Struthio camelus: one gene and its partners. The protein of the gene in region 1 interacts with the protein of each later gene in a biochemical or structural test. Links are inferred from orthologs where the notes say so. Each region holds a gene or a part of one and is shown in the gene's direction. Other genes may lie near its edges. The genes, in order: NHERF1, EZR, TBC1D10A and ABCC4.

What was found.
Region 2: the proteins of NHERF1 (region 1) and EZR form a complex in vitro, tested with the Homo sapiens proteins (2 studies listed by BioGRID and IntAct). The link is inferred for Struthio camelus from reciprocal best matches to the Homo sapiens genes NHERF1 and EZR.
Region 3: the proteins of NHERF1 (region 1) and TBC1D10A form a complex in vitro, tested with the Homo sapiens proteins (2 studies listed by BioGRID and IntAct). The link is inferred for Struthio camelus from reciprocal best matches to the Homo sapiens genes NHERF1 and TBC1D10A.
Region 4: the proteins of NHERF1 (region 1) and ABCC4 form a complex in vitro, tested with the Homo sapiens proteins (3 studies listed by BioGRID and IntAct, with this or other methods). The link is inferred for Struthio camelus from reciprocal best matches to the Homo sapiens genes NHERF1 and ABCC4.

What each region holds. Positions count from the first base shown.
Region 1 is NC_090960.1:7,868,548-7,876,530, forward strand, and holds the start of NHERF1 (Na(+)/H(+) exchange regulatory cofactor NHE-RF1), read left to right. Parts: upstream 1-4,981; 5' UTR 4,982-5,021; coding exon 5,022-5,423; intron 5,424-7,983. UniProt on the Homo sapiens protein: Scaffold protein that connects plasma membrane proteins with members of the ezrin/moesin/radixin family and thereby helps to link them to the actin cytoskeleton and to regulate their surface expression. Necessary for recycling of internalized ADRB2.
Region 2 is NC_090944.1:77,387,659-77,394,806, forward strand, and holds the start of EZR (ezrin), read left to right. Parts: upstream 1-4,144; 5' UTR 4,145-4,365; coding exon 4,366-4,377; intron 4,378-7,148. UniProt on the Homo sapiens protein: Probably involved in connections of major cytoskeletal structures to the plasma membrane. In epithelial cells, required for the formation of microvilli and membrane ruffles on the apical pole. Along with PLEKHG6, required for normal macropinocytosis.
Region 3 is NC_090958.1:4,806,335-4,813,707, forward strand, and holds the start of TBC1D10A (TBC1 domain family member 10A), read left to right. Parts: upstream 1-4,370; 5' UTR 4,371-4,379; coding exon 4,380-4,585; intron 4,586-7,373.
Region 4 is NC_090942.1:166,326,176-166,333,657, forward strand, and holds the start of ABCC4 (ATP-binding cassette sub-family C member 4), read left to right. Parts: upstream 1-4,476; 5' UTR 4,477-4,583; coding exon 4,584-4,657; intron 4,658-7,482. UniProt on the Homo sapiens protein: ATP-dependent transporter of the ATP-binding cassette (ABC) family that actively extrudes physiological compounds and xenobiotics from cells.

The sequences.
Region 1 (7,983 bases):
GATGGTGCCCGGGGGGGACGGGGAGGGACCCGGCCGGCCCCGGAGGCAGCGGCGGCCGGAGCCCTGCCCTCGAGTCCTGCAGGAAGCCACATGCGGAGGGTCCCGACGGGGACGGGACACAACTGCGCGTGCACGCAGAGCTGTCACCCTGGCTGGGGACCGCTGCCGCAGCGGTACGTCTGGTGGGGCCGGCAAGGCCGGCGGCCAGATCCTGCTGCCCCGCCGGGGCCGAGCCTGGGGCTCCCCGCGGGCCGCGGGCGACGGCCAGCCGCGGGGGCGAGGGGGACCCCACGCCTCCTGGGGGTCTTCTCGCTCGCTCAGCAAGGGCTGAGCCTGGCTTTCCGCCTCACGCTGCCTCCGTGCCTCTGCCTCCCCTGCGGCCGACTCTGCTCCCGGCGTTGATGTCGTGAACGGCCTGAGCCGCCGCCGCCTGGTTCCCGGGCCCTGCTGGGCTCCGGCTTGCCCCCAGGCAGGCTCTGGCCCTGGCTTTTCGCTGCTGCCCGGGTGTTTCAGGAGAGCAAACGCAGCCCTACTTCGCCTTGCTCCCGCTCTGGCGGGCGAGCGGCCCGGAGGGGACGTGCGAGAGGGGCGGCCGTGCGGGTCGGGGCTCGAGGAATTGCTTCTGGGCAGCAGCTTACGGCCACCGGGGAGGCTGCCGGGGCAGAGACGACCTGGCTCCCGCCGAAGGAGAGCCCGGCCCTGTCGCAGGCCACCGCAGGGCACGTCACCTTGTGCGTAGCCCTTACCTTGCCCGCGAGCTGAGCCGGGAGGACGCCGGCAGCTCGCCAGCCCCGCTCGGCCCCTTCCAGCTCGGTCGCTGCCCTCTCCAGCGTCACAGGGAAGCGGCGGCTCCCTCGCCACCAGGTTCCTCCTCCGCAGGTCTGTTTTGTCCAGGTTTCCTTGCCCCGTGATGTGGGTAAGTCTGCGGGGCCCCTCGTACGTGTGCCTGTACGCGCGCAGGGCTGTGCCGAGCTGCGGCGGCTCGCTCTGTCCTCGTTCCTGGCCCCTTGGCCACGTTGCTGTCCGATCTCGGGCGTTTCCTGCCCCCAGTCTGGTTCAGGTACCTGCCCTCAGGCTTTGCCCAAACTGGCGTGTGGCCTCGCGCTGGCCCTGTTCAGATGAGCAGGAGCTCCCTGTTCCCATGGGGTTTCCCCCGAGCTGGGTCTCTCCTTTGGTCTCGAACGTGCTCTTTCTGGACATAGCCAGGGAGCTGCTGACTGCTGCTTCAGCTCTAGGCTTTGGGACCGAGCAAAGGCGGTAATGGGAGACCTTATAAATTCCCAGCCCAAAATCTTGGTTGAGGTTTCCTCCCATTGCTGTGCACGTAATGCAAATATTTCTTCCTGCCACTGGCAAACAGCAGATTAAACCCACTCTCTAGAGAGCAAGCAGATGCCTAAGATGCTTCAGGCAGCAAGCACTGTTGTGTGCGCTTCGTAGGAGCTGCAGGGGCCCTGGGGGCACGTTGCGGACCCTGCATCGCCTCCCTCTTCCTTCGGCGGACAGCGGCTGCTGACGTCTCCAGCGCGCTGCCTGCCCGCACGCCGCGGTAGCACGGAGGGCAGGACGCGCCTGCGGGGAGAAAAGGGTGCAAGACGCTGATTGCGTGGTTATATAGCTCAAGACCTGCTGCTCAGACCAGAAGCGGAGGGGCTGCCCCGGGTGGGAGTCCTGGCATGACGCGCACCTCCGACCCGTGGGCGTCCTGCCTGGCCCGGCGCCCGCGCTCCCGCCTGCCCTGGCGCCTCCTTTGCCTCCGCGCCGCTCACGGGTCTCTCTCTCTCTCTCTCTCTTTGCAAGTTTACAGAATTAAAGCTCGGTATTTTAGAGGCCTGGCGTCTGCCCGGTTGAGCGCGCGTGAGAAAGCGCTGACCCGGGGCCGCGACGTGGGCGGCTGCCGGGCCGGGGCGGCGCGGGGGCTGCCGCGGAGGCAGGGGCGCCGGGGGGAGCGCCGCGGCCCCTTCCGCCTCGCCGGAGCTTACGCTGCAGATTTCAGGCGGTCCAAAGGTGAGAGGGGAAGAGTAAACACGGCCTGTTAAATTAAAACCGACCTCCTCCCCTGCTGTTCGCATGGTGCGGAGTCCGGCATTCCCCAAATAACTCTCTCTTCCCAGCAATGGCATTGCTGCTGCCTCTTGGCTGATGTCGGCAGAAAAGGCTGCTTAGCTGCAACACAAACAGACGTTGGCTCTTTTCTGCTTTCTGTCCTGCAGCCTGAGCTCTCTGCACGTCACGCAGAGCTGCGAAGAGCCCCGGCAGGAGGACGCAGCTGGGGTGGGAGCGGTGCCGCCGGTATCCTGCCTGCTCGCGGGTGCTGGGGGGGCCTGGCCCCGAAGCGCCTCTGGCTGTTTCCTTTTGTGCTGCATCGCTTCCTTATCTGGGTCCCCGTGCTAAAACCATCCTTGCTAGGACTGGGTTTTGTTTCCTGACTTAGCTAGCGCTCCCGAAGAGCACGTCCCCTCTTTCCCCTCGCGCCCACACGCGTGCGCGCGCGGGGGGCTGCGCTGCTGGCAAACCTCCTTCCGGGGGGGGACGGCTCTGCCTTGCTGGGCTGCTGGCGAGCGCCGCGCGGTGCGCTGCGCTGTTTCTCCGGAGAAGGCTCAACGCTCGATCTGCCTCCTGCCACTGCGTCTCCCAGGGCTGAACGGCCCCGAGCTGACGCTCAGCAGAGCGGAGGAAAGAAATGAGCCCACCCTCGGCTCTTGAACGCAGCCCCAGGACACGCGAGCGTTTGCTTGGCCGGATGCTGGGTTGCAGAGCCGTTGGTGTGACCGGTGCAGCCCTTCCTGAGGTTTCCGAGCCCTTTCCAACACGCTGCGTTGCCCCTCGCAGGGTGCTCCGTGCAAACCCTCGCGGGAGGGACGCTTCTTCGAGCGTGCTGGAGTCCCTCCTGCTTGTTTGCTCGGCTGTAACGCAATTAAAAGTGATTCCCAACTGCTGCGAAGATCTGCAACGAATCTTAATTTTAACCGGGCCCTGAAGTTCGGCAGCGAGACGCTGAAATCACCACCGCGGCCGCTGCAAGGTGCCTTGGGTGCAGGCAGCCGTCAAGGCCCGGCAGCCCCGCTCGCCGCAGGAGGAGCGGCGCCGGGGCCGGCTGCGGCGGGCGCCCTCGCCTCGGCCCCGGCTGCTCCGGAGAACCGGGATCTCGCACTTTCATAACCTCCTCCTGCGGCCTCTCCTGCTTCCCCGGCTGAGGTCAGCACCCATGGGTGCTTCCCCTCGCCCCGCAGGCCCCGCGCACGGCGCCCCAGGCCTGTGTGCCGGGGCGCCGAGTGGAGGTGGAGCCCGGCCCGGGGATGCTCTGGGGAACTGGGCTGCTCTTTCGGTTCCGCTGCGCAGCGGGTTACTGGAAAGCGCTGCCTCCTGTGCCGTTTTCCCGTGCAAATCTGGTTTCTGTTTGGTTTTTTTCGTTTTGGAAGGGCAGCGCAGCTCTCCACATTTCTGCTTTGAGCAGCCCCACGGCCCAGCAGCGGGAGCGGAGCTGAAAACGGTCAAACTGGGAGAGGGGACTGGGAGGAAGGGGGTGCGGAGCTGCTGCCCGTGGGCCCCTCCTCGGCCGCGGGGGCGAGGGCAAGGCCCAGCGGACGGCGCTGACGAGGAACGCCCTGGCTAAGGATGGCCGCAGGAATACGCCAGCGCTACTCCCTTTTCCTCTCCGAAAACAACAAAAGCGGCTGTTTCATCCGACTCTGCCTCAGCTATTCTTAGTGTCCCCTCCTTGGGCGCCTGCAAAGGAAAAAGTTTCCTGGTTTCCCAAGAACGGCGAAGGTTTCCCGCCGCGCTGCCGGCTGCTCCCACCCCGCTGCCCGAGCTCCCCGGCCGGCCGGGCCCCGGGCAAAGGCACTGGCACGTTTTGTTTTAGCATGCGCTAAACCCCACTTGGAGCTTCCTAAATCCTGCGGGAGGAGCAGCCGGCGCCTGCAGCGACTCTAGGGGTGGAGAGGAAGGGAGAGCAAAGCCCACCCCGACCCCGGGGCCGCCCTGGCCCCACGTCCCGCCTGGGAGAGGGACGGGAGAGTGCAGGCAGAGCCCGCGGAGACGGGAACGGGGAGGCGAGGACGCGGGCCTGGAGGAGCAACCCGGCCAGGCGGGCAGCCGTGCCCCGGCGCTCCGGCCGGGCAGCGCTCCCGTCCCGCGGGGGTGCTGCAAGGGAGCGATCCGGCCTCGTGGGGAGCGATCCGGCCCCACGGGGAGCAATCCGGCCCCACGGGGGAGTGATCCGGCCCCACAGGGAGTGATCCAGCCCCATGGGGAGTGATCCAGCCCCACGAGGGAGCGATCGGGCCCCAGAGGGACTGATCTGGCCCCACGGGGGAGTGATCTGGCCCCACGGGGCAGTGATCCATCCCCACGGGGGAGTGATCTGGCCACACGGGGAAGTGATCCAGCCCCATGGGGAGCGATCCGGCCCCACAGGGGAGTGATCCGGCCGCACGGGTGAGCGATCCAGCCTCACGGGTGAGCGATCCAGCCTCACGGGTGAGCGATCCCGCCCCACGAGGGAGCGATCCGGACCCAGGGCAGTGATCTAGGCCCACGGGGCAGCGATCTGACCCCACGGCTGAGCGATCCGGCCTCACGGGGAGCGATCGGGCCCCATCGCTGAGCGATCCGGCCTCACGGGGAGCGATCGGGCCCCACGGGGAAGCGATCTGACCCCACGGGGGAACGATCGGGCCCCACGGGGAGCAAGCACCGGCGGCTGCTCCGGGCTGGAGCCCCCGGCCCCGAGAGCCCGGTGGAGGCCGGGGCCGCCCGGGGCCGCCCGGAGCCGCGCTGCCCCCCGGCCCCCGCCCCGCGCTCTGGCCCCGACGAGAAGGGGGCGTGGCTCCGCGCATCTTCATTTGCATATCCCCGCCCCGCCGAGCTCCTTCTTTGGCTGCGGGCTCGCCCCCCTCGCTCTTGATTGGTCGTCGCCGCTGCCGGGCCCCGCCCCTCGGTATAAAGGCCGGAGCCCGCGGCTCGGAGGTTCATCCGGGAGCGGCCGGGGCAGCGCGGGAGCCGTCGTCGCCGCCACCATGAGCTCCGCGGCGCCGCCGGGGCCGCGGCTCTGCTGCCTGGAGAAGGGCCCGAACGGCTACGGCTTCCACCTGCACGGCGAGAAGGGCAAACCGGGCCAGTTCATCCGGCTGGTGGAGGCGGACTCGCCGGCCGAGCGCTCGGGGCTGCGGGCCGGCGACCGGCTGCTGGAGGTGGACGGCGACAACGTGGAGGCGGAGAGCCACCAGCAGGTGGTGGAGCGCATCCGCGCCGCCGCCGGCGCCGTGCGCCTGCTCGTGGTGGACCCGCGGGCCGACGAGCAGCGGCACAAGGCCGCCGCCGCCGGCCGAGAGCAGCCGGCGCCCGGTGGCGGCGGTGGCGACGAGGCGGCCACGGCGGCGGAGCCCCCGCGGCAGGAGCGGAGCCCGGCGGCTGAGCGGGTAAGAGCGGCGGGGGGGGGGGGGCGGTCTGCGTCCCCCGGGCCGGCCCGGCGGTGGTCGCACCCCTCCTGCGGCTCCCCAGGAGCGCTGACCCGCTTCCTTCTTTCTCGCCCGTGGCCAAGGCATCGCAAGTGCCGCCTGCGCCCGGAGGCCTCCCTGCGGTGGGCGCAGTCGGGTGCTTATCGCTTTGTGCGCCTGAAGTGCACTTCCCTCCAAAAAAAAAAAAAAAAAAAGGCACCCGGAGACCTATCTGCAGCAGCGCCCGGGGGAGGCTAGGAGCCAGCGGGCTCGTGTGGGCCGCTCGTCTCTCTTTTATTTAGTTTTTTTGCATAATACTTGTTATCAGCTGCATTGGGGGGGGACATAAACAAAGGCAAGAGGGCTCATGGGGCTCATCAGGACCCTGGGAGCAAGTAGCACCTCGTGTCGTGGAGCCCGCCTGCTGCAGGACCAGTAAAACAGGGTCAGAAATCCAACAGGAAACTGTCGGAGCATGCCACTGCTCGCAGCTGCTGCTGGCTCTGTCAACAGGTAGCTGCAGCCCGTGGTTTAGTGTGAACCTGCCAGCTCGCTGTCAGGTCATGCTGGGAGCTTCCGGGGTGCTTTTTGGGAAGAAACGCTTTGCTCTGAGCTTTAGTCAAGCAGGTGTTTGCTCTGGGGGCTGGGACAGGCGATGCTTTCCCTGTGCCCTGCCTGCTGCTGAGGGAAAGGGTGGCAGGACCTCAGAGGCAAGATTGCCCCTTTTTTCCTTTATTTATATTCAAGAGATTAAGATTCTCCTTATTAGTGTCAAACATCTCCAAAATAAGACCAAAAGCCTTGGCTGAAGGTAGATTTGGGGGCCATGACTGCAATTTTTTGTGGTTTGCATCCCCTCACCTTGCGGTTTCAGCCCTCGAGGCTGGGACGTGCCTCAAGCAGTGTTTGGCCACGGTACCCTCGCAGAGCAGAAACGATGGTGACCTCCCTGGGAAGGGGGGCTCTGCTCCGTGCGGCCCGTAGGACTTTGTAGACAGACACTTATCAATTCGGGAATGTCAGCCTTAAACAGCGCGTGGGAGTTTAGCCGTTGCACAAACAAAGCAATATAGAGAGGTAAGGAGTTGAGAAATATCTGACCTTTCCTACTCAGAGTGGTTTCTAAGAGACGCTTTTGGCTGCCTGCGATAATACTGCTTTTTATTTACCCAGTGAAAACATGTGTTTGTTGTTACGACGAAGATGGAGATGGTCTTCCTCAGAAGTGGGCTGGGATGGCCCTTGGGGTCAGCCAGCTTATCCCAGGGGCTGAGGAAGCCTTGATGCCAGCTCTTACGCAGTGGTTTAACCTGTTCCTAAAAACTATCTGTGACAGCAATGCAACTGTAGTAGCAGCAGGCTGCTTCATCGCTTATTGGGGACCCTCCTTGATTAACCACCTGAGACAAAGCTGGATCCTCTTTGTGGAGCAAGGGACCAGGCACTAAAAAGCCAGGAGTGGGGCTTTGCCAGCAGGTGAGACGGGGCTAACGAAGCTCTGCTCTGGCTCCATGCACCATGGAAGCCCCTAGGAGGGTCAGGTCCTGCAGGTGTTCCCATTGCTGATGCTGAGCCTCCAGGCAAAAGGCTCCCGGGATGTTTTGCTGAGGCTGTGTGTTAAATCCCTAGCGGTCACACTGTGGATGCCCGAGCAGCGTTAGGGCCCGGCTGGGAATCACTGCAGCATTTGAGTATTGCCCGCTGGCTGGATGTTTCTCAGACCTGTGCCTCGAGGAGGGCTGAGGGAGAGTTGCATTTGATTTGCAGATCTCCTGAGCCGTTTTACGGAGCAAAACAGGAACCAAGAGGGATGAGGATTTCAGAGCAGGGTGTCAGGAGGGAGTGGATGGACTTCGGTGCCTCGCTAAGCCATCGTCCCACAGGGCTTTGCAGAGGAGCAGAAGTTCTGCTGATGTTCTTGTTGGACTTTAGCCCAGTGCCAAGTGTGTGTTCCCCTTTGGCCTGGCTGACCTGCGGTGGGGACATACCGGCCTGGGGACCTCCTGGAACAGGCAGGTCTTGTTAAAGCCTTGTTTTATGCTTAACAGCGTTGTTCCACAGTTGGAGTGGCTGTGTGGGTGCAGATCGCTTCCTCTGTGGTCTGAATGAGAGGGACAAAGTGTTTTTTCCCTAGGTGTTTTCCCCAGGTGAAAACAGCCAGGAACATCCTTTTATCCTTACTGGAGAGAGGACGGCTCTGTCCCTGATCCTCCAGCTGGGACAGTGATAGTGGGCTCAGAGCCCTCTGGAACCAGTCACTTGTGTTACGGGACAGACACCTTGTTATCTCAGGAGTGCCATGGGTTTTCCAGCCAAGGCACTTTAAGGACGCAGGTTGTGGTCGATGGTAATTGGAGGACAAAGTCTGGATCAGATGGTTCCTGTCTGTTGTGAGCTGACAAACTTGTGCCACTTCCTATGCATGCCTGTATCTTTAAGGATCCTCTGTCTTGCTTTGGAGAAATGGGCTGGATCTGATTAAGATAAGGTCTCTTTTTTGGGGGAGGGCGGTTTAAAGAGCTGGCTGACCTGGGCATGGTGT
Region 2 (7,148 bases), on another chromosome or scaffold:
AGCTCAGAAAGTCATATATTTTCTTTTAACTGCTCTACTGAATGCATGGCTTGTGAACAATGTTAAGAGGACAGAGTTAGCTACTATAAATTTCCAGTTAATAAAAAAGCCTTGGAGTCAAACTGCAAACCAGCCAAGAGAGATGCTGCAAAGAGAGAGATTCCAGCTATGCCTTGCCAGAAGTTCTTAGCCTGGATAAAGCTTTCTATAGGAAGAAACAAGGAATTGAGATTTGACTTTTCTGAGACCACTGATTTTGCGTGACCAACCAAGGATAGCATTTTAGGACACATATGTTCCATAATTACCAGTCCAGGATGATCAGGTTTAGGAAGTTTGATGTTGACAAAGAACTGAGCTGGCACCAAACCTGTTTAGCAAAAGCCACCTTACAGCAATAGGACTTTCTTGAGCAAATTCTGACAAATGCTTTATGTATGTTTTACAACAAAACATACATAAAATTAAGGTTATTAAAAATTAAGGTAGAACAAGAGATTAAATGGGTCTTTTCTTTAAAACAGGGAAGGCAGGCTTGATGACTGATGGTCAGGCTGATGGCAGGCTGACTTAAGACACAGTTTGGTGGCTGAAAAGCTTAGTGGACAGTAAGGTACAGGAGCTATTACAGGCAAGAAAGCAGAAACTGGGTTGTGCTACTGACCTGCTGAGCAATCTAGGTCCTTTCATTACCTCCTCTGCTTTAGTAACTCCTGTAAATTGTTAGTAATGCTACCCTCTTAATAGAGCATGTTAAGAGTAAGTGGTTTATCAGAGCAACTCTTAATGCTGTAACTTAAAGGCTTCAGAATGAGAAGCTAAGTTTAGTAAATACACAACATGAGATAAAATGCCAAGTCATGATTTTGAACAGTTTCTCATCCAACTGTTTGCATTAATTTATCTGAAATAATTTTGGCTGCTAAACCCTTATGCACCTGGACAACCCATCACAAATGTTAAATGAGTCATGTATACAAGTCTTTGCTTTAGTTTCTATGTACGTTGTATGTTTCATTTTGAAATTCAACTTAAGAAACTGAATAGAAAGATTACTAAAGGCAGAACTAGACTTTTTTTGCACTTCAGTTCTTGGGGTAGGGGAAATACCATCCCTCAGGATTTTTAAGGGAAATGGAGATCCAGAATACTTAAAGGACCAAATCTGAAAGCAGTTAGTTGTTCCATGAGCACCAGAACTAGTGAAGGCTGGTTTCATTTTGATTTGGGTCTTGCAGTTAGTTAGCTGTGAGATCTGATCGAAGATCCTGTAGTAAGGGTGGCTGTGTAAGTTCTCTCCTGCTAAGCCAATACCTAAATCTAGAAGTAGCCAAGTCCCACCGGTTTCTCATTTGAAAATTCCCCAGGCTCACTTTTTTACTTCTGCATATTTGTATCTGTTTTTCATATTTAGAGTTCTGCCTCAAACCTTGTCTTGATGGGATTTGATTGCTTTGCACCCCTTTAACACCTGCTCTGATGTTCTCCTGCCCAAACTCCAAAAGGGATTTAAACTGTAAGCACTCTTAGAGCATGCGTATCAGTCTTACACACGATGCCCCTGCTCCAAAAATTCAATAGGCTGCCTGTCAGGAAAGTAGGAGAACTGGAGGCTTTCCACCCTCCTCTAGTGGCAAAGGGAAGCTGTACTGCATCTGCGAAGGAGGAATACACTTCTATATAAAAAGGCAGAAGGGAATAATATCACAAGCCTTCTTCCAATCCACTGGGGGGCCGGGGGCAGAAACCAGGACCCAATTATAGAAGAGTATTTCTTATTGTGACAAAGGCACCTTGCTGAAACCTTACCTAACCAGGAGTTTAGTAAGACACCCAATCTCTGCAGGCAAGGGGGTTTAAAAACACATTTAGCACTAGGCGAAGCCCAAGAGGGAGGCCAAGGGTCTCTGATGTATGCTGCAACCTGCTGTTTTTTCTGGTTCCTTCCACAGAAGACAATTCTGCCTGTTTAAGCTCAGCGTGTTCATGTTGGTTGATTCTGGGTGGGGCTATGTTGAGTAAGGCAGTAGCTATGGATACCATTGAGGTATCTTTCGCTCCCCATACATTGCTGATGATTGTGGCAGAATGGCACAAGGTTATGTGTGGTGGCAAACAGGAACCTAAAGACTGTTTGACGTAACAATTATTAGTCACCTAAACTCATTTTACTTTTAGTTCTGTGGCTAGGAGGCAACAGTAAGTGTAAAAAAAAACAAAAACAAGCAAACAAAAACGAAACCAAAAAAACCCAGTTTTAAGCTTGGATCTGTAACTAACATACGGAAACAAACAGTTGCCCGACTGATTCAAGTCATCTGATTCGGATCTATTACATGAAGCATCACTCCAACGTGGAATTGCTCCAACACAGAGGCCCAGGGTGATGGCCTCTGAGCCCATGTCAAGCTTTGGACAGGAAAGGATTGTTGGGATGGAAATCTCCCAGGATAGAAATGAGCTTTCCATTAAATTTTGTGCAACTGCCTCTTTCTAGTGTAAGCAGACACTAGTTTATTCTGGCTTTTTTTTCATCTAGTCACAGCCAGAGTCTGGATGTTAAGACTAAGGAATGAAAATATCTCACCTACATGTTTCCCCACCCCCCAAAAATCAAAAAATACAGCTTAGGGATCTGAGTGAAAGCTGATGGATTCTTAAAGTATTCTGTACTTGGAATATTTGTTTCTTGTGCTTAGCAGCATCTATTCAAAATGCAGTGATACTATGATCTGGTCCACGTCCAGCACCATCCTATTTGAGTAGGGCATGGATCCTAGCATAAACTTATTGCTCAGCAGAAGAGTGTAGAAAGCCCCCTCACAAATGATATTCTGTGAAATTAACCTGATCCCAGCAAAGCTTCACTGGAATTGCTCCATCTGGAAACTGAGGCCATATCTGTTTCCCATGGCTGTTTGATCCCGGAGCCTTTTCTTAGGAGCCATTCAGCTTCATCAGACTATTTCTTCTCGCTTGCTGTTTTGAGCTGCCATCCCCATAGCTCAGTTTTGACAGGACAGCCCCCATTAGTGCCCTAGGATCATCCAACAGGGAAGGGAGGTAACAGTGTCAGCCTCCTCTTCAGTTCCCCTCCCCTTTCTTTCAGAGACCTGACGGAGCAATAATTTCTTTAATGTGGCAGTACCAACTGCTGCCTAGTGGACTCTTCAAGCTAAGACACCATTTCTATCTTCTTCTGCTGTGCAGGTCCTGTCCTGTTAGTGCTATCTTTTTTGTTACCATCCACTGACACCTTCCAGGCTCTTCCCTGCTCCATATCTTTTTCATCTTCTGGGTTGTTATCCCCCTTGTTCTGTGGCTCCCGTTTCCTAGCCCATCATGCCTTTTCTCATGAAACAGCCACATGCTGCTTGAACCTGGGAGCAGGCTGCACCATTTCTTTAGTCCTACTGCTACCGTGACGGGCACGCAGGAAGAGCTTTGGCCTGCAGGCCGTTGCCCGTGACTGCGTAAATGCAAGCTGTTCCCGCGCGCAGCCGAGCGAAGTGCTGCAGGAGGCCAGCAGCCTCTGCGGAGCCGGCGGCCACCTGAGCCGCAGCACTGTGTTTGTGGACGAGGAAGGACAAGAAGCAAGGGGCAGAGCCACCGACTGTCATCTGTGTATGTCTCTAAACTCTCTCGTAATCTTTCCTGAGTTTTGACTAAAGATCACGATCAACTACAGTAACTACGTTCAGCTTGTGCTCTCTTGGCCCTCTGGTTTCTGAGCCTGGGTGGATTTTCAGACTTCCCTCCCACGCCATCATTGCTGCAAAGAGTCTTTCATACAAAAGTTAGTCCTGTGGGTTTGGGGTTTTTCTTAAGGTAACCGTATCACCTGATTCTGGACGTGGAGACGCACCGCAGCTGTTAAGAGACCGGCGACGAACTTTACGTTAAATACAAGAAGCGCGTCTCACAACGAGCGGTGCCAGTGCTGCGTGGCGGTCGCGACCGCCAGCCCCTTCCCCTCGAGGCCGGGGCAGCGGGGGGGCCCTGCCGCCAGGCTCGGCGGCGGCGGTGAGGGGCTCCCTCGGCGCGGCGGGGCTCTCCGCCGCCGGCACCTGCTGCCGCCGCCCGGGGATTCCCGGCGGCGCGGGGTGCGGGGTGCCCGGCCGCAGCGGGGCGAGGCCGGGGCCGGGGCCGGGGCCGGGGCCGGGGCCGGGCGGAGGCGGCGGTGAGTCACGGCCGCGGCCCCACCTGCGTACTTAACCGCCGCCGGGCGGCCGGCGCCGCACTCGCGGGCTGCGCCGTCGCCGTGGCTGGGAGCGGCTCCTCCTCCTTCCTCCTCGGCTGGGGCGAGACAGCTGGTGCCTGAACGTTTGCCTTTGGACTAAGAGGAAACGCTCCACGCCGCGGAAGATGCCGAAGCCGGTAAGGGAGGCCGCCGGGCCCAGCCGGTGCGCGGCCCTGCCCGCGTCCGTCGGCAACGCCGCGGGCCCGGGGGGCGCCGGCCTGCCGCGGGGTGGGCTGCCCCGGGAGCCGCGCCGCTGCCGCCGCGGTGCCCGCCTGCCCCGCGGGGGGGGGGGGGGGGCGCTGCGCCCCCGGCGAACCCCGCGGAGCCCCCGCCGTGTGCGAGTAACCCCTGGCTCGTGTAAGAAGCCCCCGGACGGAAGAGGTGGCTCGTGCAAGCAGAAGCGATGGCTGGAGCCGCTTAGCAGCTTCGCTTAAAAACGCCAACGCGCCCCGCGGCGCGATGCTGAAGCGTTAAACGCGCTCGCGGGGCGGTGGGCGAGCAGGTGGCGTCGGGGCCCCGCGCAGCGCCGCGCCCCGGCCTCCCCCGGCGGGGAAGAGCCTCGGGAGCCCCCTCCAAAGAGGACGAGCAGTGGGTTATTTTGTTTTCTGAAACAGTCCTGTGTCTGGAAAAATGCAGCCCTCTGGAGTAGCTCTTAAGAGGTGTGGGGTGTTTTCTTTGTTTTTTGGGGGGCATATTCTCACAGTGAGATGGCAAAACAGCACGGACTTGCTCTTGGTGTTTATCCGCGGTATGCATTTCCACGCAGGAATCACGTGTATTTGTAAATATATAAGAAATTTCATTTTTGTTTGTATTGTGTTGTGATCTAAAAACTAAATCCCGGGGCCTCTTAGTGCAATTCTCTGCAGTGCTGCAGGTGGGACTGCTGCTGGTCCATCCTGGTCGTCATCAGAAAAAAGCATTCCCCTCCTGCCCTTTAACTGAACAAACCTTCTTCATCGGCCTCTTTTTCCTCGGTCCCTGTATCGTTGTTGCATCCCGAATTATAGATTTGCTGGCAGGGGGTGAGGGTTTTTTAATCTGTTTCCCCCTCTGCGGTTAGAAACAGCAAGTCTCTTGAGGGACCAGCTGCCTAATGTAAAGCCCTAAGTAGTCATTGGAGCAAACACATTTTTGAACTCTGGCCATAGTCGGACCATGTTATTGCTGCTATCTTTTTTCCAATAGAGGCAATATTTCTTAAAATGCAGTGTCGTGAAGGATTTATGTGACTATTAGGTGCATCTTATCTTTAAGGTAATAAGCTTATCTTTAAGGTAGTAAGCAATTAATATTTTATCATAACATTTAAGTTAGTTTAACTTGTCCTCTTTCAGAAATGAGGTGTTTAGGTTAATTTATGTTGTGGTCTCTGTAAACCTCCAATAAAAACTAATGCTCACAATCATTTTAAGAACTTCTGTATCTTTAGTCTCCCCTAGATTATATTTTAGCAGTAGCTGATATATTACTGCATATTAAAATATCTTCTGAAAATAACCTTTTGCAGGCTGGAGTAGAAAATCTAATTTACCAAGCATGAACATAAATTTTGTGTGTGTATATATGTGTGTGCATATGTGTATAAAAAAACTGTGTTATTAGCCATTTGCTAATTATGCAGACTCTTGTCTATGGAATACCCTAGTTAGAATAATCTGAAATCCTGGTCTAGGACTAATCCATACTGAAAGCCATGGATAGATGTGGAAAAACTCTTTAATCTGTTCCCCCCCCCCCCCAAAAAAAAAAAAAGCCAAACCAAGCAAAAAAGACCTGTTTACAGCCACGTTCTTCCTTTTACCTGGCCTAGTTTTGTGCATGTTTCCTCATGGATGCTGATATGGCTTCTTGCCTTGTTGGCTGACTACCTGGTGAACAGCACAGACAAAATGGTGATAGGTGGATGGTGTAAGCCGCAGGGGAAGGACGATTGTCAACTGTACTAATAACTTCAGAGACATGTGACCTACTGGCTGGGATTTATGGCCAAGGCTGTGTGGCAATGTCTTCTTGTATAGTATAAGCATTATTTTAAAATCTGTACTTAATCTGCTTATCAGTATTGCTAACTACCAATTTACTGTAAATGGAGGACTGTTGCAGGGATTTTTTTAATAAAACGGTTTAGCCTGACTGTTTCAGACTGAGGCAATGAATTTGGATTCTTTCCAGCCCAGCTCATTTGCTCTTAATACAATTAAATAGGATTCCTATCAGTTTGCAGGGCATGGTGGGAGGGGATGTAAAGCTGTCTGTCCAGAAGCAGAATTGCACTCAGAACAGGACAACAACCTCTGGCATGCTTGAGGAACAACAGTATAAACTCCTAGGGAGCACAAAGAAGCAGCCTTAGTTTCTCTTGGATATTTGATGTGAATACTTAATGTTTATTTTCCACACATGTCTGCATGTGTTGTTTCTGCTTGGTGTAAGTAAATATAACATTGCCTGCAGATTTCATGCTGCTATGGGTGAACGCTGACAATTTGGTCATCAATTTTTCATCTTAAAATCTTGACTTGCAATCAGTAACCAAAACTTTAGCAAGAAACCCATTAAATTGAATCTTTGAAGCTGTTGTTTTAACAAAAAATAAGCACTCGAGCAGACCTTATGCATCATTTTTGAAGTTTCTTCTTTTACAGTAATCAAACAACAAGTGCACTAACACTAGAACACTGGGGGTTTTTCAACTAAAATACATGATCACTAAAGTGCTAGAAAATTGACTGTATTCCAGATTCTGTAGCCATATTTGAAGTAATTAGTTGGATTTTTCTGATGCATGTCTACAGCGCTCAAAATAAATTCTAACTATCCAGAAAATAACTGAAATAAATATTTTTAATATAAATGCTTTCAGGCAGTTTCAATTTGTAATTTAGCATGGATGTTCTGCAAAGTG
Region 3 (7,373 bases), on another chromosome or scaffold:
GAGAGAAAGAGAATAGGGCCATGAAAGTTGTGTAAATGTAGTGACCTAATATGTAAGTGCAGCAGGCTTTTAGTGATCAATGCTTTGCTAGAATGCTGGTGTCCGCTTTTGCTATCTGTCCATTGAATTCCCTAATGAAGTGGCATTGAGGCCATGCCCAGCTTAGATTAGCTCCATCTTTGTTTGTAGAAGGGGTTTATACTGATCAAGAATATCATCTGACTACAGTGTTTGCCACTTCATTTAATCTTTTTCTAATTGAAAACTTTCTTCTCGATATACTTAATACACTCCTTATTCTTTCTCTGTCTCTGACCTATCTGCAAGAGTCTCTTGCACTGACCCTGACTTGGAATTTTATCCTCCCTCAGTATGAGTGCACACTGCCATTCGTCATGATAAAGATGATCTGGGACTGTGCATGCTAAACAACTTCATGATTATTCTGTACAGTCTGTGATTTGTTTTAATAAACACCCATCTTAGTGTGGGATTCTGTCTATAACAACTCTAGTTCCTTGGGTTTTATGTTTTTTGTTTTTTTTTTTTTAAAGATTGAAATGTGCCTGGCTTTAAAGTGTTCAAATTTTAGATGCGTTGTGGGGAATTTTTTTTTTGTAGTTGGCTTATAGAAAAAGCTTTTCCTTCATAGGAAAAGCTGTAAGAAAGGGTTTTTGTTAAACTTCTCTAAGACTACACAGTTATTCCCATATTGTAATACAGGTGTATATATAATTGCTGTTTATGTCCATGTATGAGGTGACAGATTATTCTGAATTTAAATCTAACTAGTGAGAATTTCCTTGTAAAATGCATTACATACTTTGTGCTTCTATCATCTCTTGGTCACGGAGAGCATTAGCTTCTAAAAATAGATTATTTTTGTACCGTCAGTCATAGCTGTGTCACGGTTTGATGCAAACATAACACAGAACATGGTGAAACAAAAAATAGCCATTAAAATCTATGTGTAAATAAGTGGTCAAGGAAAATGCTGTTGTCTGTTGTTGCCCAGCAGCGGCCACGTGACTCTAGTACCTCTGCTCTCCTTTTAGGATAATCCAAAGCTATGATTTTTGGGGTATAGACATTAGCTTTTAACATCCTGTTATTTTGTGCTTAGGAGAGAGAGAGAGAGATTCAACATCCTACACAGGACAACATCCTACAGTCCCCTTTGTGCCCTCATCTTTGAGGGTAGGTGGGAGAGAGGAAATCATAGTGGTGTGGGAAAGGTGTTTGGCCCAGGCCCAACCCAGGTGGCTGGCGGTCCTCCCAGCTCATGGAAGCCAGCTGCTGTTTTTGACAGATGCCGGTGTCGGATGCCCACGTGTCTGAGAACAGCACAGCGCTTAGTCACAAAAGCGCAGCCTGCTCTGGTGCTGTAGGATATTGAATTAACAGCTTCTTGCAGCTGTGGGCAGGGTGTTTGGGTGTATTGTGGATACAGAGGTGCTCCTGCCCTGCAGGAAGGCGTGCTAATTACTTTTGGCTTGTAAAAACTAGACAATAGTTAGGTACAATCTCCTGGAGACAACAACACTCGGTGGCATAGCTTGGAGTCATTGCAGTGGAGGCAGCAGTTTGCTAAAACAGCATGTGCATAGCTAGCTAGCAAGTGGTGTTTTCCAGAGCTGATCAGCTCTGCAAGGAAGAGAGAGCTCTGAAATGGAGAAGTGATGTTTCTACATCCTGTGTAAGACACCAAGCGTGATGGGGCTGCATTTAAGGTCATCCAGCTGTTGTTCTGGGCTGCACCCATGCAGTATGAACTGCCATAGTGCTTGATGCAAGGAGCATCATCTGCGCTCCCTTATCAGACATTTATTTCCTAGGTGTCTCTGGATGAACGCTGTGCTGGTGCTTAGGTGACGTGCTCGGTCTTCAACAAAGTCAGGCTACTTCTACAAGCGTCTGACTACATCCTGCACGGGGCCGAGTGCCCAGCCCAGCATTCCTGCAGGAGAACTTCCTGCACTGGCCTCCAAGTGAGAGCACTAGAAATAACTTGCGTGGAGACTTGCCAACAGCCAGCCCGTTTCTATCTAAATATTGCAGATGAATGTTAAAACAAGACTGCGTGTGTGTGTATCCAGTACAAAACAACTATTATCAGGGCCTTCCACTTCAGTGGGGTGGATCTGCAAAGCTTAGACTGCCTGAAAAAAATCTGAAAATAGGCCCATAAAGCCAGCACCTGAATTAACCTATCAGTCTCCTTGGCCCTTCGGACTTGATGTCTTGCAGGTTTGTGAGGGGTCTTGACTCTATTAAAGCCCCTCTGCTTTGCTGTTCGTGGGAGAAAGTCATGCTTTGTGTTACTGCCACAATAAGTTTAGCCTTCAGCATGGGGTCATAATTTTATCAGAGGGTGATAAGGGTCTGGACACAGGGAAGGAGCTCTAAGGCTGCCTCCTCGCTGCAAAACTGCCAGTGGAAAGTTGCATCCATTTTGACCTGTACTGGACGAAAGACCCAGTGCTGACACTGAAGTCTGCTTTGTGCTGGGCCCTGCTAGATCCTTGTGACTAGCCGGAGGAGTTTTACTTGTGTGAGGTAGAGACGAGAAAGCTCCGCTAGATTTCAGCGTGCTCCTTGGGTTTGTGCTTCAGGCCACTAAGAGACTCGCAGATAGCGGCAGCTCGTTTGCAGAGACCTGGGATCTGTGGGCTTCACTGGCTGCCGGTTCACTCCTGCTGTCCAGCTGAGATGTGAGGGAGATGCTTCTGCTGGTGACCCTGCTCGCGGTGTTGCCCTGCTGGCAGTTGAGCTGTTGTGTGCCTGGTACCCTGCTTCCTCCCCTCCCTCTCCAGGGAGTCCTGGTACAAGCTGCAGTTGTAATATGAGAGATTTTTCAAGGCTTGATGCAAAGGTTGATCTCGTGGGAGCAGAGCGGAGGAGAGGTAACCAAAAGGGTTTCTCTAGAGAAATGGGCAGGTCTGTTTTACGCTGCACTGGTGTAGGCCAAGCTGGGGGACAGTTTGTGGTTGTGTGCTGGAAATCACAACTACAGCATGCTTTTAAAGGCAAACGCACGTGTAGTTTCCTTTTAAAGTATGTTTTTTGTGAGCCTGTTGCCTTTTAACTGCAGTACCCAGCCCTACAACCAGACCGACTCTCACAGCTTGAGCTCTGATAATGTGAAACAGCTCTCTGTGTCTATATGACTTGCCACTGAAGCCTGACCATAGCAGATGAGGAGTTGCTGGTTGTATCTGGTGCCCTAGGAGAGCATGAGGAGAGGCAGAAGATCACACAGGTGGTGGAGACTAAATTGATGGCTTCTTTAAGTCTTCTGTCACCAGCTGGCGCTTCTGTGATGGCTTTGCCATCTGACAGCCTGGGCTGCAGAGCTGCTCCCCTCTGAAATGATCTTGTGAAATGGTCCCGAAGCTGAGGGCGCCTGCGCTGCCCCATGGAGCCCTCGGTGCCTGGCTGGGCCCGGGGCAGAGGTGAGCCTCGGGGCGGACGCTGCCCAGAAAGAGCTGCTGGAGCTCCAGGAGGATGTGAAATAGGCTCCTTTGGGGGCTGGAGGGGCAGGAAATCCACTGCAGGGTCAGAGAGAGAGGGACTACGGTGCGGCCCGTTCCCTCGCTGGCTCTTCAGCACCAAGACAACCCCACGCGTCTGCAAAAGCAGCTGAAATCAAAGCAGAAGAGGCAGATGCGTTGCCTCGCCGGCCACAGCACAACCGGAGGAGGAAATGGGAGCTGCCAGCGGGCACTGGAGCCGCCCCAACTTCAAAAACAACGGGGCGCTTCCCTCCCGGCCGTTTCCACGTTGCGGGCTGCGGTGCTGCCGTGGCCCATGTGCTTCCCTCCCGCGGCGTGGGGGAGGCGGAGCGGGCCGGCGCTCCTGCGTGGCCCGAGACCAGACTGCCGTGGGCCGGGCGGCGGCGGCGGCAGCTTCCCTGCACAGCGAGGGAAAAGGCAGACGAGCCTTTTTGAGTCTCGGCGGCTCCTGCCCGCGCGGCGCCGCCCAACAGGGGCCGGGGCTGCCGGCCCGCCGGGCCAGAGCGGCGCCTCGGGGCCCCTCGGCCGGCGCTTCCGGCGCGGCCGCCGCGCTGGGCCCCGATGGCGGCGGCGCAGCCCCCGCCCCCGCGCTGACTGACGGCGTCTCTCACGCTGACGGACAGCTCCCGCCCGGCGGCTCGCCCAATCACCGCCCGGCGTGAGCCGGCCCGGCCTCTCCCCGCGGCCGCCGGTTGGCGAGAGGGGGAGGCCCGGCCCCGCCCCCGCGCGGCGCCCAATGGGCCGGCGGGGCAGGGGCGTGGCGGCGCGCGGTTGGGCCGTGGCGGCGGCGGGGGCGGGCCGGGCCGAGCCGCCGCCGTGGCCGGGCCGGGCGGCGCGGGGGAGCGGCCGCGCCGCCGCCGCAGCGCCATGGCCAAGAGCCGCGGGGGCGGCGGGCCCGGCTCGCCCGGCAGCCGCCGCGGCCTGGCCGGCACCCGCGAGAGCCTGGCGGCCGAGCCGGGCGGCGACGAGCTCAGCTCCCTCGGCTCCGACTCCGAGGTCAACGGCGGCGGCCCCGAGGAGCGGCGCGTCGACAAGTTCGGCTTCATCGTGGGCAGCCGCAGCGCCGAGGGGCCGTGAGTGCCGGGGCGGGGGCGGCTCCGCGGGGAGCGGGCGGGCCTGGAGCCGCGGGGCCGCCCGGGGCTCGGCGGCGCCTCCGGCCCCCGCGGCCTGCGGGGCGCCCGGCCCGGCCCCGGCCGCCGGGGAGCGGGCGGCGAGTCCTGCCCCGCTGCCCCGGCCCGGCCCGGCAGCGGCCTGCCTGCCTGCCCCGGGCCCGCGCTGGCGCCTTCCCCGCCGCGCTCGGGGCCGGGCGGCCTCCGCCGGGGGTCGCGTTCCCCGCAGCCGCCGACTGCCTTCGCCTCTGGGCCCTGTTTCACGCGCTCCGGCTCTGCTCGGTGGCCGGGCTCCCGCGCCTGGGCTCCGCGGGGCCGGGGGGAACCTCCCCCCGTGCCTGGGGTAAAACCCTGTCAGCAGGGTGGACGACCCGCAATAAACCTCGGGCTGCTTTTTTTCGTGACTCTCGTATCGGCTCTTAGCGCGCGAGGCTGGCAAGCAGCGCCCGGGAGGAGAGCGGTGCGTGACGCCTCCCTGGCGTGCTGCACCGCGTCCCTGCCCGGCGGCGTCAGCCGGCTCCCCGAAACCGCTGCCTGCAGCGAGGCGGCTGGGGGTGCCGGGGAAGTGCTGCACCTCGAGGAATCCAGAGTTCAGCTGTCAGCCAGCCCAGCATCCCACGCAGACCCGTCTCAAAGCTGGCTTGCAAAACACCGATGCTCCAAGGCCAGCTTTGGCTCGGTGGCACCATAGTGAAAACAAAACAGTCCCTGTGGCCGGAGAGAAGTGAATTTTGGGCTATGTTGAGCCTACAAAGTGTGAATCTTGGAATGCACCAGGATAGGGTGATCTAGAGCTGTTGTTTGTCCCCAGCGCCTCTGTTTAGGCTGCTCCTGCCGACGTTCTGACGTCGCTCGAAGTGACCGAAGCTTGCTGGGCAGTGTTCCTGCCTCGTGCTGTAAATTGTTTAAATTTTCTTGGGGGAGTCACAGAAGCAGGACGGTGCAGGGTCCTCTGCCTTTCCCCAGCCTCCTGCGCTCTGGCGCCGGCGACTGTCTGTGGGCTCTCCGCTGCTCGGAGCTGGGACGTCCTGCGGCGTTGCTTGCGCCCACAGCGGAGCGTGAGGCTGGAGGAGCGACGCTCTGGGTCCACGTGGACGGCTTTCCTGCTGCACCAGAGCAGCAACGGGAGTTGCAACGGGAAAAAAGGCAGCAGGGGAAGTTGGGAGAGCCCCTAACGCTGTTCCAGCTTCTCCCGTGTCCCCTGCCGGCTGACTGGGAGGAGAGAAGAAGGGAAACACGCAGGGGGCTGGAGCAGTTTCAAGGAGAGGCTAGAAAGCAGCGCTCGCCTTGGGCGGGGGGAGGCGTGAGGGAGGAATTGCTGAGCGCCGTAAGTAACGCCAAGGCCTGCTCGCTCCCCTTCCACTCGGTGATGTCAGTGTCTGGTTACCTTGAGGCCTGTTCTCGTCCAGGCGCTGGATTCCTGCGTATTTTTGGCCGTCGTCTGACAGGGGGAGGCCGTGCCGTTGTTTGGCTCTCCTGGGTGCTGGCTTCCTGCGAGGGGAACTCGTAGGCTGGTCGGGAACATCTGTAGCCGCTGGAAAAGCAAGCAGTTACTGGAGGGGCCATGGCGAGGAGGGGAAGGCGGCTGATCTCCGTTTGCAGAGGAAGCCATCGGAGGAGCCTCCAGAAGGGCTCCCGCCCTCCCCGAGCCCCGCGCAGCTGATGGTGGGAGGAAGCGAGGCTGCTGAAGTCAGCTCTGAGCAGAGCAGCGCCAGGCTTGCTGGCAGCCAGCTGGGAGGCAGGAGGGCTAGTGGCCGTGCTGGCCCCGTGGCTTGTCCCGCAGCACCAGACTCCGCCGCGGAGCTGGGTGGCGCTGGTTGCGAGGCGCGCTGGAATGTGCCCCGGCCGCCCCAGGTCCTGGGGAGCTGGTTTGGCGGCATGTTTTTCTTCCTGGCGATGATGTTTTTGCAGCGACACCCAGAGAAGCGAGGGATCAGACCTTGCTTGGGCAGGTGGCCAAGGTGGCAGCTTGATCCTCTCTAGCTGTGGCCTTACCTAGGACTGGCTCCCCTGCGATTTGCACCTCGCAGGACGCTCCTGGACGCCCTTGTGGCCGATGCGGGGCCGGCGTGACAGCTGATCTGGCCTGGCCCCCAGCCAGCAGGACCTAGCTGTTTACCCCCCCCCCCTCACCCGGTGCGCGTATTCTTAGCGCGTCTGTGAAGTTCCCCGAAGGTCAGAGGGGTGCCGGGGCTGCGCACTGACATGTCTGAGCTCTTGTCCCCGCTCGCCTGCTCTGATGTCGATTGGGCCGCATGCCTCAGTTTCTCCATCTATGAGGAGCAAAGCGTGCATCCCTCCTGAGTGTGGGAAGCCTTCGTAAGCCAGGAGCCTGTGGGTGCTAACTCTGCTCCCCCAGTACTGGTGTCTAGGGAGAAAAGCTGCTGAAATGTTGATTGCTCGGCTGCTGGGCAAGGTGCTTTGCTCTCTCGGTGGGTGTCAAATCCCTCATCTGCCTGTCGGGATCATTCTCGGTTAATTCATTCATGCGCTCGGCACTGCATAAAGTGGGAGGCTCTTTCCTGGATGGAGGAGCTCTCCTGCCCACAGTGACTGTAGCCGGAGGCAGCTGGCTTGCACGTGCCCCTCTGAACGAACCGTCACCTCTCGGGGCGCTTCTGAAGGCGCCGTGGTGGCAGCCCCGTTACTCGGGTGCCCTCTCTGCGGACGAGAGCACAGGAGGATGTCCCCGCTGTCGTCCCAACAGATGCGGGCTGTCACTTGTGTTCGAGTTCCTCCCAATGGCTTTCTC
Region 4 (7,482 bases), on another chromosome or scaffold:
CTTTTCTATTGCAATAAATACTGAATTTAATAGAAAGTAACTATTTTTGAATCCTATCTTAGCAGATAATCACTAGAAACTGCCGTACGCTACGGATAATTGAGCGTAACTTTTTTTTAATGAAGGAAATAATTGGGCATCCAAACATCAACAATGAATTTAAAAGAACTAAACTATGAAAATTAACAGAAATATTGTGTGTATGTATGTGTGGGTGTGACACGTAGGCAGAAAAATGTGAATGGAAATTAAGAGCTCTTTAGGAAAAATCTTATTGGCCAAAATGACTTGATGTTGCAGTGAAAGATGGAGAGGACTTTGGCCTAAAACCCATATTGATTCAGAAGTGATGATGGTAAGGATGGGGTTCAGTTGCCTAAACGTAGATATCTATTGCCATTTAAAAGGCACTTGAGACATTGGCATGGGACTGGCAGATACAGCACAGAAGCTATGGAAGACCTGAAGCCTTCTGAAGTGGTGGCTAGCAGCCAAGTGGAATATCCTACCATATCTACAGCGGCAGTAGGCACCTACGTTTAGTGTAAACTAGAAACTATGGCATGTAGAAAACTGATACAGGTAGTTAAAAGATACGGGGAGAATAGAGATGGCTAGCAGAGCAACAAGAAGAGAAAGTATCTGAGAAAAAATGCTGCTATTATATACTAATAGCTAGATGGAAACAGCAAACTACTTACAGCTTGATTCTGCACCACTGACATTTCTGTTCTGCAGCTGAACAAGAACAGGCCTATCTATCCGTATTGCAGGAGCATGAGAAACTATTCTTCACTGAGTACGTCAGCGAGACGATGAGTCAGGCCACAGACTGGATAGTGACTAGCTGGGCTCCCAGCCAGCGGACAGCCTGCTTTCTTGCCCATGGCATGGCAGGAAACGGAGCTGTCTAGTTGGTTTGTCACGCAGCATATGGATTGTCTTTCTGCCTGGCTTCGATCAAAAGTTAAACAATGCACTGTGGTAAAGCTTTCACAGTCTGCTACGACAGCTTGTCTTCAGAAAACTACTGCCTCTGAAGTCTTTCAAACAGCTTTGAATCTGATTCTGCCCTTAGTACTGCCTCAGAGATATCATGTAGTGTGCTCATTAAATCGTTTATCCAAACTTTTAAGACACACTCAGGCACGTGTCCTTGTTTTCCAGGTACCTGACTTGAGATGCTGGGGTGTGACTTGCAGAAATTGTTCGCCTCTCAGCCGAAATCAATGGGCGCTTGCCTGATTGTGAAAGGTTACAGTGCTACATTCTCAGAAGTATTAAGCCTTTGGTTCTGATTGCATATTCAGAATCAGTGGCTATATTTTGCCTTAAGATCCACACGCTTCTCTTTACCACTTGAAAGGCAGATAAGCTGCCCAATTATCTCTTAAGGGTTTTGTGAAAAGCAGATGTGTGTGAACGCCTCATACTAGAGTGGTAAGTGCCACAGAAAAGGAATATGAAGAAACTGGTGATTCTGACTGTGTTCAGAACGAGGAGAGAGTACAGCGAAGAGGATTTAAAACCATGCTTTGCACAGAGGCTTGTTTAATGAATATGTCCTTTTTGAATACTGAATAAATACAGAAACTTGTGTTTGTATGTTTATGGAATCCCTTGTGATCGTCCAATTACCATAGCATAATGTATACGCATAAATGGCTTAATTCAAATGACACTCGCTTAATCTGGCCATTGACTAATCTGAGTACTTGGCTTTGCTAGACTGATATCTTTATTACGGATTTATGTAATATTAACTTTCGATTAGGTTGTTTGCATATTTAGTCTTCCATGCCGTGAATATATTGTTACCACAGGAAAATATTCAACGGATAACTAAAAAATCAGCAGTTGCTTTTCGTTTCCCCTAAAATAAAGATGATTAATTTCCTTACTCTGTGCTATCTATTTTCCCTCCTCTCTCCTCTCCATGTGCAGTCTCAGCTTTTCCAGAGCATCTCTGTTACTGTTTCTAACTGGTTCACAATTCTCTATTGCTGCATCAGTTTCCATTGGTTACTTGTACACTTGACAGAGTTACTGATTAATTTGGCTTTCAGGCTTTTCTTTTCCTCTTGAACTTTATTATAATTCTTTGGGCATTGCTAAATCTTTAGTTTTCCCTTCTCCAAACCTTCCTATAGAGTTTTGTTTCAGACATGGGAATCTGACAGCAGTATTTATTATAAAATTATATTTTGTCAATAATTGTCACCGATAATGCTGGGAAAGACGAAATTTACTTCTTGAGGTTTGTTCTTTGCCATTTTCCTACCGTTACAATAATCTTGGAAAAAGTTACTTTCTGATCTTGTGTTCTTAAAAAAAAATTACTTGTTCATGACTAATATTCTGCTTTCTTGTCCAAACAAAGAAATGTTTTGATAATCTTTCCTTGCAAGAATCTGGCTTGATTTTGTTTCAGATTCATGAATAGATGCCAGTTTAAAGATTTACATCTTCCTTTCCTCCACTATTTGACCCAAACTTTATTGAAGTTTTAGGACTTGCATTGGGCTGTCATGCCTTTTATTCTCTTATTCATATCTGTTTAGACAAATTTGCTTCTCAGAAATCTAAACCCAGGTTGCCAGAATTTGTTGACGGACAGACCTTGTCTTCAGATGTTTTGGGAGGTGACTTAAGTTAATTCTTCTGGAATACACAAAGCACTTTTTTGTTAAAGCCTGCCCTTGCAAATCACTGCACCAGTTCCCTAAGTGTATTTCTTTGTTTTAATCCAGACAGATCTATAGGCAGGTGCTGAGAAGTGTACTACCTATCGCTTGCAAAATCCTGTAGTATGCTCAGCCAACGCTTTTTGTTGCCAACTCTCTCACCTCTCTCCCTCGCTATCAACTGATAGCAAACTTACGCTTGATTTACTTGTGTTATGGTTATTATGACATCCTTGCAAGCGTGAAGTGAATCTGTTTCTTGGATGGCACAGTGTAGCCCAGACCTTACCACCCTCTTTTTTCTTCACCGTGTGCCAACTCTATGTACCTATAGTGATAATCAGATACTGGAACTATTTCACCGATAAGCCATTTTAGCAGGAAGAGATAGGGTTGGTTGCTCCTAGGGCGAAAGATGAATAAACAGGAGACTTGCCTTGCAGCTGGCTCAGCTGGAGGGAAAAGGGGTCTGGGAGGCCGCAGAGAAATTAGGGCATGGCAGACACCTACTCTGCCTGGTATTTTTTCACTGAGCTGAATAGTTTTTTGGTTATCCTCAGACACGTGCCTCACCTTTGTATTATCTTAGATTTCTTGCAGTCCCCTCCACTGCTTGCAGGCCCATCCCTTGCGGCAAGCCCCAGTGACAACAGCGGAGAGGAGTACGGCCATCGTCCGCCCTGACAACGATCGCACCCAACTTCTGAGAAGGGCTTCAAGGATTTCTGTGATGCACCTTCTCTTGGAATTAAATAACTACTTTTTTTGTGTGTGTGTCTGTGTGTGTGTGTGTGTGTATGTATTCTGGTTTATTTCTGGGGGTACTTTTTGTACCACCAAACTTTCCTCAACATCATTACACTGGAGCTGCAGATAGCACCGGTTTGCAGACTCAGACCAGCATCCGGCTGCTCTCATGCTGCCCCAGTGCCCTTGTTCTTGTAATTCGGAATATGGACATCCCCCGTGTGTGTGTGTGTGTGTGTGTTTTAATACAAGTCGCTGCAATGTTTAGGAAGGAGAGGTGGAAACGAGTGTTTCTGGCAGGTCAGTCCCACGAGGCTGCAATTGCTCCTCACTAGCGGCTTGTTTCTCCACCTAGTCAGGCCTGCGGGTGCCTTGCTTGGTGCGGTCCGCGCCGAGAGGACAATAACGTTTTCAACCCGCAACAACGTGGCACGGCGGCAGCATTTCACAGACAGCACCGCCGAAGAGATCTTGGAGACGGTACTATCACTCGGCGGCAGCCTGCGACAGCGTGACAAACAGGGCGATGTCCTTAGCTCAGTACAACAAAACAAAACAAACTCTCGCGGCCTTTACAGCCTTTTATTCGAGGGCCACGAGGGCAAAAAAAGTGAACTCGCTTCAGGCACGCACAGGCGACCAACCGCTGAGGGGACAGCGGAGCACCCCCCCTCCCCCCCAAACCCGCCCGGGGCGGCCGCTTCCCCTCAGGCGCGAGGGCTCGGCCCGCGCCCAGGCACCTAACGGCCGCCCAACGGCCGCTCAACGGCGGGAGGGGCAGCGGCTCCTTCAAGGGGCGACAGCGCCTCGCGGGAGGGAGAGGGGAGGCTCCGCTTCCCCCGCGGAGGGACCTCGGCAGCGCCGCGGGGAGGCTCCCCGGCCGTCTCGGAGGGCGGCAGTCGCCTCAGCGCGGCCCTGCGGAACTACCCGTCACGCCGCCGTCTCCGTCTCCGCACAGGGGCGGGCGTCGCGGGGGAGCCGGGCCGGCAGGAGGCGTCCTGCGGCGGGAGAGCGGGAGGGAGGGACGAGGTGGGGGGGTGTCGGCTCTCCCGGAAACAGCGCCGGCCGGCGGCAAAGCGGCGGTGGCTGCCGCGGTGGGAAGTCGGCCGTGGTGCTGCGCCGCCGCTGCCGCCGGGCGGGTTGGCGGGCGGCATGGAAGCGGTGCCCCGTGAAGAGAAGCCCAACCCGCTGCGGGATGCCAACCTCTGCTCCCGGCTCTTCTTCTGGTGAGCGCCCGGCCGAGGGCGAGAGCGGAGGCGGGGGGGGGGGGGGCGGCGGCAGCGCCGCGAGGTGCGGCCTCGGGGCTGCCCGCCGGCGGGGAAGGCGCCGCGCCGGGACTTTGGCGCTGCCGCCTCGCCGCCCCTTGGCTTCCCGCCGGGCTCTGGGGCCGGCGGGGGGATGCTGAGTGCCGGCGCGGGGGGCCCGCCGCCTCCTTTCTCCTTCCCCCCCCCCCCAACTCCGCTTCGGGCTTCCCGCGAGGGTCCGGGCGCCCCGGGGGGGGAAGCGCCGGCGCCTCCCGGCAGTGACTCTGCAAAGGCGGCTCGGCGAAGGCCTGGCGGGTTAACACGTGTCAGCGCCGCCGGCTCGGAGCGCCCCTCGCCCGCAGGTGGCTCCCGGCGACGGAGGCGGGAGCGGCGCCGCCGAGGCGAGGTCTCCTGAGGTCAAAGCTTGCTAACCCGCCGCTTGCGGGGAGCCGCGTCTCCGGCGCGCCGGTACCACCCCGGGAAGCCCCGCTGGGAGCAGGCGGGGGCTGCCAGCGCGGTCCCACGTCTCCTCCCCGCCGCCGCTCTCCCGGGTCTGATACCGCTTCCCCGGGCCGAGGGTGCCCCTGCAGCTCGGCTCGAGCACGTGTTGCATCCCCTCGGCGGGCAGGGAGCCTGCTCCGCGCCGGGGTGCCCGGTGCTGGCAGCGGCTCCGGCACGGCTGCCGCCGGCGGCTCCGCGCCGCTGCTCGCATAACGGGTCGGCGGCAGGTACCGCTCATCTCGAGAGCGCTTGCTGATCTCCCTGTCGGAGTCTTTTTTTTTTTTTTTTTCTTCTCCTCTCTTCTCTCTGAACTGCGTAGTCTGCTTAGGGATTTCCCAGTGTAAGGGCAGTCTTCTGCTTTGACTCTCTGGGGGCCTGAGGTGTCGCAGAGCAAAGGCGGGGAACGGGGCGCTTACGCAAGCATACTCGGAAACCAGTAACTTCTATGCTGGACCAGATGACTACTGTGGCAGCGCAGTTAATGCTTGTTCTGTTACTGTCATTGGCTTTGGCGCAGATGCGCATAATTACTCAAAGCAGGGAGGAATCATGGTCTGGTAGTTTCACTGCATTGAAATACGGTAAGGAAAGAAGACATGCAAGGTGCAAAGGGGGAGTATCAAGCTTGTCCATCTTAGCAGGACCCCTTTGGAAGAGAACAGGTGCAGAGGTACAGGTACCTACACGTACTTACCCTGCTTCACCTTCGCCTGAACTCCGGGTGCATGTGCCGGAGTACTTGGTGGAGAAGGAAGAGAAGGCATGGTGCGTGAGGCCCCTGTGTTTGGAAGCCTCTTAAACACAACACCAAAGTCTCCGATCCTAAAAGCAGCTGTGAGCAGTTGCAGGGATCCTTTCTAGAAGGCGGAGGGATTTTAAAGGCCCTGACCGATTTTAGCTAAACGCATTTTCGGTCAAGGAAATGTCCTCGGAGGTACTGTGTGCAAAAAACAGGTTGCATGCTTTTGTTGAGCTGCCTGTGTTCAGCAGTTTGACTTGTAATTTCTTTTTTTAGCGCTGGGGTGCCCATGTTAGGAACAACTTTGCTAGGAAATCCAGGCAGAATGGGATAAACTACGGGTTGGCCATTTAGCAGTGCAGCACTGCTTTTGCTCTGTTCACCTTTTCTTGCAGGGGTCTTGTGCTGCCACGAGTAGTTATGCCAAAAGCAGTTCTGCTAGAGGTGAAAAAGGAAGTGTGCAGTGTTCGTGACTTTTTTTTTTTTTTTTGACTGTTCACATCATCCATCTTATTGCTCTCTGGGTGTTGCAGTGGATTGTTCAGCAGCACCCACAAAAGCCATTTAAAATTTCTCAAGTTTTAGGAAAGCACTTAAAAGGTTCCTTTTACCCCATACACATTTGTAGGTTCTTATTCTACAAGGGGGCAAGAGGAAGAGGAGCCCTGTGTTTGTGAGATGATAGGCCTCCTGAAATTTCAGAGATTGACTGGAGCATTTTACTTTACAGTTTCTTACATTTCTTAGTCTTCAGATAGTAGGGCTCCACTGTAGGGCTTGTGCTCTGAAGTAAGTTTTTAATAGCATGTGAAAAGTTTTACTGAATTTAAAAAAAAAAAAAGTTCTGTATGCTATCTGCCAGGCTTTCACGGGCTTCAGCAACATTATGCCACCCTTCTACCTATGCTGCATGTGATCATCAAATACCAGTATATTCTAGCTATTTGCTAGTCAAAAAGCTTTAGTATTTTTTCAGTGAAAAATTCAGCTGAAGCGATGTCTGCAGTGGCTTAAATTGAGGATCTAGGAGATGTCATCTTTCTGCAAGTTAATAATTTTTTACATAAAACTGAGAAAGGATTAAAATGAACCTCACTAGCTATAAATCTACCCTTAAAGTTAGCTTTAGGAATCGTTCACTGCTTCTGCGAAGCACACAGCTTTTGACAACTGTGTAAGCATTTCTTGGCACTGCTTCATTGGAAGTGCTGTTTCACACAGGATGTTTAGAGATGTTTTCAGTTGGAGAACTGGAAAAACAGTGTTTGAGGAGGGCTGTCCGGGGAGTAGCGGCAACCACTGACATGTGGTTGCTCCAGCAGGCCTGCTGTGCTGCCCAAACCCTAGCTGCTGGCTGTTAGCCCTACTTTCTGTCCTTATTAGCAGCATTGCAGGCAGCTGGGCAGGTGTCCCCCCTCCCCTCCCTTTTTTTTCCCCTTCTATTTATTTTTTTTCCAAAAATCCAATCTTGCTGTTGTAAGGAGGCTCCCCCCCCCCCCCCCCTTTGTTGCCAGTGGTGTAGAAGTAGAGCTGAAATTACTATGTGTTGCAGAAATGGGATCAAACT